3 linked regions of the Arabidopsis thaliana genome follow. The protein of the gene in region 2 interacts with the protein of the main gene of each other region in a pairwise test. Each region holds a gene or a part of one and is shown on either strand. Other genes may lie near its edges. The genes, in order: SAUR9, AT3G12620 and AT1G79130.

Region 1 (3,426 bases), on a different chromosome or scaffold from region 2:
CCAAAAAGTCCTTTTCAACCACACTTAAAATTTCCTTTTTTGGCTATCAAGATATACACGATATGGTGTTTCTACCACGGAAAATTTGCAATTAATTCGACTGGAATTATCACAAAGCCAAAGATGAAAATGTTTGATGATGTTGATTGATTCATCACCATTAAAATGATAGGCAAAAAGCAAAAAAAGGAACGAAAAATAAGAAGTTGAATATATAAATGGAAAAAAGTACGTGGAACACAAGGCGTCGGAGGAATGAAATGGGAACTTGCATGGATTTGATACTGTCAATTAAACAAAAGATAGGTTCCAACCTAAGCATTTGTTTTCGTTTTCAGATTTTCACATGGGGACGAAGTTTGCTTAGCTACATCTTTTCCCATATGTTTTTATAAACATATTTCCGATAAACTATTTAGATCATTATATTTTTAGTTACCAAATTAGTTAACCCATCAAATTTTCATATTTTAATCTTCCGTAAATGATATTAATGGTTTGTAAGTTCTAACTCTTTGACTGAATTTTGAAATGACCCCAAAATGTTTGTAGATATACAATTAACGTTCTCAAATTCCGCTGATTTTTCCGCATGGCACTTATTATATATACTGTATTTTTGTCGGTGACCAACATAATGTTAAGTTCCGCTTGGTCAGTAGATATAAAATATAATGTCATATGAACCTCGTAATAACCCGTATATCCTCTCAATGAATTTGGTTAACCAAGAAAATATAAAACTACCAAACTACATTAATCATTTGGTGTTATTTTGTACATCTTAATTTATAGACAAAAAATAAAATAAAAGAATGGGCATTAAAGTGTTGGCAACTCTACTTGTAGCAAAAGACATGTGATCTTGTAGTTGCAAGTACGTACTTTGGTTTATATATCTCTATACTTCGTCCGTAATCCTTTTGTAAACGGACTCAATTTATGACAAAACGGGTATCTAAATCTATTAACGGCCATATGGTATTTTTTGGTTATTTATTCATATATTAGTTGTAATAAAATTGGAAGTTTCAGTAGAGACAAATTCTGAAGAAGAGTTTATAACAAGTGTAGAGAAAACAGACACTACTTGTATTAATTTGTAGAGTTGTGTCTAAATAAAAACACAAAATAGAGACAATGTAGGGTAGTGTTTATATAGTCCCTACCTTATTTATAAGACCCTCCAAAAATTTTATTGTATGCATTCTTTTACATATTTTTGGCCTTTCCCTTATGGCTTGTCTCTAAAACTGCTTTGTTTCCTACATCCCACATGATATTTGCTTTCACATTACATATATAAAAAAGAATATTTTGATGGATTGATATAGTGGTATAGGAAAATTTGGGAGCATTGTTATATCTTTAGATAGTCCTGAGTTTAATTCTTCATTGATGCAAAAAAAAAAAAAAAAAAACTTAGACCATTTGGCTACTCTATCTAGGCCATAATATAACAATTTGGCCTTGTAAGAAAAAACAATAACCCTTGAAAATAGTTGGACGTTGTATTTTTATGTCTTGTGATAAAAGGAAAATGTTCAAATTTTGAAGAGATCATATAAGATAATGTACGAATAAAAACAAGTGTTTGGACATTTATGAAATTTAATAATTATATTTGATGTCATATGTTACGTACTTACGCGGCTTTGATTTGATCACCAAGGAAACACTTCATGTGGTTCTGCATGAATTAGTCGTTGTTGTGTATATAATACATATAACCTAGTCACAAATCATCCAAAAAGTCATAAGTAAACCTAATAAATCTATGTTAAAAGCATATATGAGATTTTTCTTATTAAATTTAATAAACACTTCCAAAATTTTCTCTCTCATTGTGCCCTTAAATACCCCTCCATATTCCTCCCCACCACCTTCACATCCACACCTTTCTTCAAACATACCAAACTCTCTCTCCCTCTTCCCTCTTCTCTCTAGCCAAGTTAGATTTCAATAAGGTCAAATCATGGCGATAAAGAAGTCGAACAAAGCGGCGTTGTCTCAAGCAGCATCTCTAAAGCAAATCTTGAAGAGGTGCTCAAGTCTAGGAAAGAAGAATCAAGGTAATTGCTACTTCAACGACGTGCCAAAAGGTCACTTCCCGGTCTACGTCGGTCAACACCGAAGTCGCTATGTGGTCCCAATCTCGTGGCTAGATCATCATGAGTTCCAGTCACTCCTCCAACTAGCCGAGGAAGAGTTTGGTTTCGAGCACGAGATGGGTCTCACTATCCCTTGTGATGAAGTCGTCTTTCGTTCTCTCATCTCAATGTTCAGATAATACTCGATATCGAGGACTGGTCTTCATTAGCTCAACTGGTCATTCTCTCAAGAAATATTCCCCTTTTAAGGAAGTAAGAGTTTGATCACATTGTCACACTCCAGACTCGGAAGATCAAATCCTCAAAGTTATTACCAAGAAACAAGAAATAAGGAATATATGCAATCTATTATTTAGGTTTTTTTTTTCTTTGCTAAGAAGACGGAAGCAAATGGCGGGGATCGCGTTAAGTATCGACTCAAGATTTGTGGCTATATTAATATACCTAACAGTTTTTTTTAATTAACCACTCTTTTGGGATTTTTTTTTCCTTCTATATATTTTCGGTGCCTTCTTTTATATATTTTATTTTCAAATATTTTGTATATTAGTTTGGATGGAAGACTTTTCCCTCAAGTCAACGTGTATTGTTGACCGTTGGTTCTTGAGAGGAATAGCTAGTTTTATTTGTATTAATTTTTTATTCAAGAATTTTCATTCTAAAACTGTTGTTAATTATTATCTTCTATAAAACCTTCATAAGTTAACTTAACTAGTGTTACAAAATAATGATTGATTAGCAAATAAATTTGGTTTCAATAAAATAAAAACTAAATACAACATATTAAAAAATATTATAAAAAAAACATTCACGGTCTATCCAGTATCAACCATAACTGGCCAAACATCAACGATTTACCATTTGTAGTTGCAATCTTGTTTCTACTTCATCTGATATTTGTAGTTGCAATCTTGTTTCTACTTCATCTGAGCAAAGCGTAATGAAAACTATTTATATTTCGATCTGTAGACTTTAATCGTAAGAAGAAGGAAAAAAACTAATCGTCATGAGAAGACGATAAGTCGATAAGTATGATCCAAAGTCTACAGTAATTTCTGTTTGAGTGGGGTTCTTATTGATAACAATAATTGCTTTTTCGTCGTTTCGTTTTCATGATTTATCATTTGTTCCAATTGCCTCGTTTTTGTTTTACTATATCAAAAACTCATTTTAATTTGGTAAGGCCGCCTTCAAGATTTGTGTCGATATATAATAATACAAGCAAAGCTTATCACATAGTTATATTTAAGTGATAATGAAATTTATTTTCTTATATATTAGAGAGAGATATAATTCTATCAGATTATGCTTTTAA
Region 2 (4,604 bases):
TGATTTTCAGTCGCGTTGTCTTGGTTAGGACATGATTCAACGCCCATCACATGCTCAGGGGTCAAGATCCCATTTCCTGGAGCTGTCTTTATTTATTTATTTTAGTATTAGTAAAAAATTTCCATGTCCTTGCTCATAACCAAAACATAATTTCAATCATAACAACAATATACAGTAATCCATTTGTAAAATGTTAGTTTTGTCGCCATATCTCCAAATGAATTCAAATTCGATGAAATGCATGTGCGAACATATGGATCATTAGATTATTTTGTTTTCATTTCGATTTACTATTGCGTGAATTATTCGTGATCTTTCAAGGTCTTTTAGATAACTATTCTAAATATTTTGGAACTATAGTCGGATGATTTTTTTACTGAGAACTGTAGTCAATTATATTTAAGGTAACTTTAATTTGTGACTGACAAGATCTTTTGAATTCTTAGGCCATGAAAAGCAATGTTGTTTTGTCTTTGACATAAAAGACGAACTTGTAGCAGTATCGGTCTCTACTGCATCAATTACACATTCGCTTATGTTTTTGTATATACACTAAAAATGACAACATAAGCAAAAAGTGGTAGATGGAGGTAGTCAGTAGTAGAAATCTTTCCAACAAGTGATATCTCTTTATATTATCCATAATAAACTCAGTTTGCCAAAAGACCTATACATTGGATTTCAACTCTTCATTTTTTTTTGGGATGAATAAAAAACAGAGTTAAGAGGAAATTTTTATATATAGAGAAAAAAAAAAAGAAGGAACTTGAATTGCGTTTTGCAATGTGTTTTTATATATAGTGGATAATGTATATATAAGATATATATAGATGTGGTGAGAGTAGAGTCAAGTAGAAGGTCCAGCTAAATCACCACCACCTGAGATGGAGAGGAGAGGTCGGCGTGAGGTACTGCGACTGACGAGATGTGAATCAAGAAACACAACTATGACTGTTATATCATCATGAAAATGTCTCCGCACTCCTCTATCGATCTTTTTTAGATCCGAATATCTCATCTCTCTCTTCTTTGCTGCCTCTCTTAGAGCTGTTTTTATGAGCTTCCTTGCAATCCCCTGCATACCCACATGTTCTCAATCAATCTTTCTATCTATTTGCACATAAAACGAGAGAGAGTAAGAAAGAGCAAGTGGCAATCTTACATTGCGCGGGCATGTGTTCACAATGTCAACAGCTTCTTGATTGGACAAGTGCTCCCACAAGCCGTCTGATGCAAATATAAGAAACTGATCTTCTGGATGGATTTTGTGTACTGTAATTGCCGGCTCTGCTCTAAGGATGGGCTTATGGAAAACCTCAGGGACCCTGAACTTTGCCAACAATGGTTCCCGGTTGAATTCTGCTTTCTTTAAGTATGCATCACCAATCGACCGTGAAACCTTCAAGAACCAGCCACGGGTTATATCTAGCGAAAAATCCTCTTCTTATACATGCATAGGGCTTACTTAGTTGTATCTTTCACAGTCAAGCTACTTGCAAGAAAAGAGTCTAGAAGTCAGCAACTCGCATTACCGTGAAAGTATTTTTACCTGTATAATACCTTTGACACGCCAAACTTTGTGCTTCAAGACCACAATCTGAGGATCATTTGGATGCAACGAGCGCAACTCCTCTCTCACAGATTCAAGACTTGCATTATGCTCAGACGATAACTGAACGGCCTTGACAATTTTAAACGCTTTTTCCAGTCTTCCTAGCACAACCCGAGAATCTCCAGCGTTTGCAATATACAACAATCCACTACATATGATCCCTACCAGACAACAAGCTCCAACAGAAGCAATCTGTGGTTTAATCTGCCACTGCCGCCGGACAAGAGAAAGAAAATCTTCTTCCGTAGCTAAAAACGCTTTAGTTATAACATTGGCAGACATTCCATGATTCTCTGATGTAAACTCTGCAATCAGAAAATGTCACCAACTTAGAACATAGATAGTCCCAAACACACACATATCAAATATAACAAAAAAGAAGGAAACAACGTACTCCTGATGTTGTCGAAGAGGTGTTTATTAACGAAACGGGCAGCTTCAGGACCACCATGACCATCATAAACACCAACAAAAGTAGCTTGAGGACCAGAATCAAACATACTAACAGGTCCAGACTCAAGCTTGCTATGATCTTCGAGAAGATTATTAGCTTGAATAACAGACATAGAGAACTCTCCAGCAACATGGTTACCAGAATCTTTATACCAAAGAAGACCATCACATCGACCATTAGCGTCTCTAGTAGAATGATCTCCTTTAACAGAAGGTCGCCTCCAACATGGTGCTACCATCCGCAATATAGTTGCCGATGATACCATAACTCACATAATCCCCTCAATAATCAAAATTTCTTTACTTCATCTAAAAGATCACTAACACCCCCAAAAAAACGGAATCAAATCAAAATTTGCTTATTCCTCCTTCCCTAAACAATACACCAATACGAATGCATCAATACACATTTGTCGCGCATATACAATTACGAATTTTCTTCAAGGATCGAGATCAATTACCTTAAAAAAAAAAAGCCGCGAAATGATTTACCGTTCGGACAAAACAAAAGTGAAAATTGGATCGAGATCGGAAGCAGGAGTTACGATAAGAAGGAATCGTAACTCCGGTTGGGATTACAGAGAGGAAGAGAGATGACGAGAGAGAAAGAAAACAAATCTAGCAGGCGACTCTGTCAGAATTCCTTATTTGGGGGTTCGATTTCTCTTATTTTTCTCTCTTTTTTTTTTTCTTTTTTTTTTGATGCTTTTTTGTTGTCATTTGGTTTTCGAGTTTAGCTGTTTAGGCATTGACCTCAGAAACAACCCGACGTTTTAGGCAGCTTTTTCTCCCATAGTTAGCTACGTTTCTCCATTTTTCAAGATTACTAATTTTATTAAAATATTACTATAATAAATAGATTTTTATTTACATTTTCCATAATCTGAATGAAATCAAATATATGCAAATATCAAAAGTATCACCTGATCACCAATTCCTAGTTTTGTCCAATGATACTGATGATTCATCAGCCGATTGATTGAAGGAACAAATTTGAAGTTTTCCACTGCTAGTTGAATTATGGTTAGTTCATTTGACTTATCAAAATCAAATGACTAAAATATTCGAATTTTCTTACATGCTGTAGAGATTAATTTCAATTTTAATTCATCATCCCATTATCTATATAAGAAAAAAGTAGAAACATTTCGCGAAATACAATCCACCTTCTGGGTTGTTGTCTTGTTGAATATGGTCAGGAAAATAAGACCATTAAAGCTTCAACCTCCAAGCCAAAGAGCAAATAAAATACTACTGATTAACGCAAAAACATGGAAAAAAAATAAAGTCTGCAAATTGGCATGTTGACATGTTGTACGCGTAGCTTTACAACCTCACAGGTCGTTTTTTTTGTGTGACAGTTTTAACCCCCAAAATCTCTTTCTTTTTGTTTTTCCCTAAAGTAAAAAATAAAAATCTAACATGTCCGAAGTCGAACCAAACATAAACATACAGGTGTTCGAAACTAGTTAACACAATAACACCTCTAGATATATATATGATTATGGTATTACTTTTCTTTGGTGATTTTTTTGTTGGGAGAGAAACATAAATAAACAAGTTGGCCCATATTCCAGCGATTTTCCTCACCCTTCTTTGATATCTCAGTTTATAAAAGTCATGATACTAATAAATTAGAGTATACTCAAAGAAAAATCAGAAAATACACCCAAAAAAGCAAAAATGTGAGAAAGAGAAACATGTTGTTGTCCGCTGTATGGCGTCATAAGCCATTCTAGAATCATTGAAATGCATATTTAATCCTCTCTGGTAATTCCAAAAAAGCGATGAGGGTATTAACGTAAATCCACCAGAAGACGAGAAAGTGGGGATGGTGGAAGGAGAGATGATAAGAGAGATGGAAACGCGTCTCTCTATGAGGCCCATATTCCATTCTTACCTCTCTCTACCTCTCTATCTCTCTCTCCTCATAATCGATCCGTAAACTCGCCGGAGGAGCAGGGAGATTCAATAAGACGATGGCTCAGAGAACGGAGAAGGAAGAGACCGAGTTCAAAGTTCTCGAAACCTTGACGACAACAACAACGACGTTATGTACCAATAACTGCGGCGTTACAGCGAATCCTGCGACGAACAACATGTGTCAGAAATGTTTCAACGCATCTCTCGTCTCGGCGGCCGCAGGTGTTGTTGAATCAGGTTCGATCTTGAAGAGATCGGCTAGATCTGTCAATCTTCGTTCGTCACCAGCTAAAGTCGTGATTCGTCCAAGAGAGATCGATGCGGTGAAGAAGAGAGATCAACAGATCGTAAACCGATGTTCTGGTTGTCGGAAGAAAGTTGGGTTGACCGGATTCAGGTGCCGATGCGGTGAGCTTTTCTGCTCAGAGCACCGTTACTCCGATCGTCATGATTGTAGCTACGACTACAAAACCGCTGGTCGTGAGGCGATCGCTAGAGAAAATCCGGTGGTCAAGGCTGCGAAAATGGTCAAAGTTTAAAAAATTAAAAATTCGATCTCAACCGTTGAAAAACTTGTGGTGGTTCAAAAGCTCCGATCGGAAGAGAGATTGGTCGG
Region 3 (2,992 bases), on a different chromosome or scaffold from region 2:
GATCGTCTCGTTTCGTATATTGATTTATATCCTCTGTTGTGCATTTGATATCATAACAGTCAAACCCTAATTCCATATGGATCACCACCGCAACACTTTCACCGGCGGCTAATGATGCGAGGAAGAAAGTGGCAAAAGAGGGACAGTGAAACCGAAGACTATATAGCAGCTTTGGAGTTTCGATGGTTCAACGATTCAGCAAATCCAGGTTTTTGGCTTTCCCAATTTTTTTTTATTAATTAATTTTGATTTTAAGGGTATTTTTGGCAATATATTTCAAATAAACATTTTAAATATAAAAATATTTTTTTAAAAAAAAGATTTAAATTAAAGTGGTAATTTAAAACTTTAAACTTTAAGAAAATAATTGATAAAATTTAACTAAAACAATGTTAATTTCATTATTAATTTTTGAAAGTTAGTTTAAGTGTTAAATTTTAAAAATATCGAAAACTAACCGCGCCTAGGCATCCCGTCCTTAGTTGGTCCGTAAGTTTTGTGGTGTTCGAAGTTCGGCATGGTTTTCACGTAATATAGATTTAACACTTAAACTCATTTTTAAAAAATAATAATAATTTTCACTAAAAAAAATTAGAACAATTTTAAAATAACTGATAAATTTTAACTAAAACCATGTTAATTTTACAGTTTACTTTTTAAAAATAAGTTTAAGTGTTAATTTTGAAAACGTCGAAAACTAACCACGCCTAGACATCCCTTTCAAGCTCGTGAATACTCATTTCCATCTCATGGAGTTTCTTCCTCAATTCGACCACCTCTTCCTCCAAATTCGACACTTTACAGATAATCGCCTCTTCGCGAGATCCAGTTGCTCGAAAGAATCCGTCGGAATTATCGATAGAATCTCAATAGGGAGCTCAAAATCCGATCGACCTTCTTTGACTATTCCAAAAATCTCGACATCTCTTACGTGAATCTTTTTAGGGTTTGATGGAAAAGACACAAAGAAGATTAGGAATCTAAGAATTTTTCTCACTAATGATTATTTGTCTTCTATTTAATTTGGCTACAAGCTTTGTTTCTTGTTCTCCCACGTTTAAACACTCTTTTCCCTCCAAAAAAAGTCAAAGATGAACATTAATTTTGTGTTCGTTTACTTTCTTATGAAATCTAGTCAAAGAAGAATATTAATTCCAGAAATACAATTAAATAAATTATGATACAAAAACCATCTATCAATATTTATATTTTTGTTATTTTGCTAAATTATACTCTTTTTCTTTTATATATATATGAAAATATATATACATGGAAAGCAAATAAAAAGTAAATTAATAAATACTACGTCTTTTTCTTATCCACTCGTCTCTGTGTATTTATATGTTAATTTACCATCAAACGGGAAAATTACGTATTCATGGTAAGAAATAGATTAATAAATACAACGGATTTTTATCTACATAGTCTCTTGGTTTATTCTGTACATTTCATCATACATAAAAAAGTCTAAAATTAATTTGTACAATAATCAAAATTTGATTTTAGCAATCCACATTTGTTAACAATTACCCTTACTATTCTTATTTGTAATTTGACTAATGTAAGTGAGGAAAGTTTTGAAAATAAACCAAATTTAGAGAATTTCTCATATTGCATAATCAAAATTAGGTAGTTCTTTCAATTGTTAAATTGACCATGACTCATTATGTTAACACATATATGTATGAAATAAATTAAATACCATTTTTGTGTCATCTCAAAATATAATAATACTTAATATACACATTTCTGATAAGCTTAATGTGAGTCCACACCTCTCTCCCATATTTATGTCTCTCTGTCTCTAGCATTTTTGGCTGTCTAGGATCAAAGATGAAGCCTCTGATTCGACGTCTGTCACGAATCGCAGACTCATCCTCCTGCAACCGAAATCGCAGCGGCGATATCCATCACCCGACGTCAACGTACTCCTCTTCAGTTTTCTTGGTCAAGCGAGCAACCGTCGCGTCGAGTGTTCCTTCCGGTCACGTTCCCGTCAACGTAGGCGAAGATAAGGAGAGGTTCGTGGTGAGTGCAGAGCTGCTGAATCATCCTGTTTTCGTTGGATTGCTGAATCGATCAGCTCAAGAATACGGATACACTCAGAAAGGAGTTCTTCATATTCCTTGTAACGTATTCGTGTTCGAGCAGGTTGTAGAGTCTCTCCGATCTGGCATCGCTGATGATACATCGGAGCTCATTGCATCGTTATCTGGTGAAGATGTATCTACAGAGTAGATGATGATGATTCTGTTTTTTTTTTGTTCTTCGATCTTCTCCTTTTTTATTTGAGTGATCGGAGAAATTCGTCTTGATGATTTGGATATGAAAATTGTTTTTTCGATTTTATCTCAAAATTATCAATTTAATTTGTACTGTGAAATAAAATTGAAGTGACAAAATACAAGTTATTTCACGTACCGTACTACGGATCATCATCAACTATATAATAATAATAATTATTTTAAATTTGAAGTCAATATGAATTATATATCCATGATATCGTCCCAACACCTAACATTTAATTGATTGAAAAGTTCAGATATATGATGCGATGTGAGTCTTGCGTGGATAATACACTATGAAAAGATGTAAATCCACTATAATGATTACACATATTTTTTATTGAATTTTTGTACTTATTAATTGAAGACCTATGATAATTCGAAAAAAATATAGTATAAAGTAGCAAATATCTTGTAGTAACGACGAGAGACTTATAGTTATAGGTGTATTAAAATGGGGTCTAGAACAAAAGGTCTCAACATGGCCGTATCTTCTTGTACCGTTGTACGGCTGGACTTTTTTTTTTTGTGGGGAACAATTTGCTGTTCACAGCGTACAACATACATTAGCTGAGATCTCCATCTCTATTTTTATAACAAAGTAAACGGTTTGTGGCGAACTGTTAGTGGATTAGAGGATGATTTGCGTATCTTTCAACTCTATGGCACATGTAAGACTACGTTGTTTTGTATAAACGATGGATTTT

The links.
Region 1: the proteins of AT3G12620 (region 2) and SAUR9 interact in a two-hybrid assay, tested with the Arabidopsis thaliana proteins (one large-scale study listed by BioGRID).
Region 3: the proteins of AT3G12620 (region 2) and AT1G79130 interact in a two-hybrid assay, tested with the Arabidopsis thaliana proteins (one large-scale study listed by BioGRID).

Annotation. Positions count from the first base shown.
Region 1 is NC_003075.7:17,088,056-17,091,481, forward strand, and holds SAUR9 (SAUR-like auxin-responsive protein family), read left to right. Parts: upstream 1-1,878; 5' UTR 1,879-1,975; coding exon 1,976-2,290; 3' UTR 2,291-2,818; downstream 2,819-3,426. UniProt on the Arabidopsis thaliana protein: Provide a mechanistic link between auxin and plasma membrane H(+)-ATPases (PM H(+)-ATPases, e.g.
Region 2 is NC_003074.8:4,008,663-4,013,266, forward strand, and holds AT3G12620 (Protein phosphatase 2C family protein), read right to left. Parts: upstream 3,014-4,604; 5' UTR 2,527-3,013; exon of another isoform or gene 2,439-2,526; 5' UTR 2,332-2,438; coding exon 2,007-2,331; intron 1,918-2,006; coding exon 1,550-1,917; intron 1,400-1,549; coding exon 1,163-1,399; intron 1,076-1,162; coding exon 848-1,075; 3' UTR 608-847; downstream 1-607. Other genes in the region: SAP5 (A20/AN1-like zinc finger family protein), read left to right, coding at 4,045-4,527.
Region 3 is NC_003070.9:29,769,486-29,772,477, forward strand, and holds AT1G79130 (SAUR-like auxin-responsive protein family), read left to right. Parts: upstream 1-1,732; 5' UTR 1,733-1,833; coding exon 1,834-2,238; 3' UTR 2,239-2,402; downstream 2,403-2,992. UniProt on the Arabidopsis thaliana protein: Provide a mechanistic link between auxin and plasma membrane H(+)-ATPases (PM H(+)-ATPases, e.g.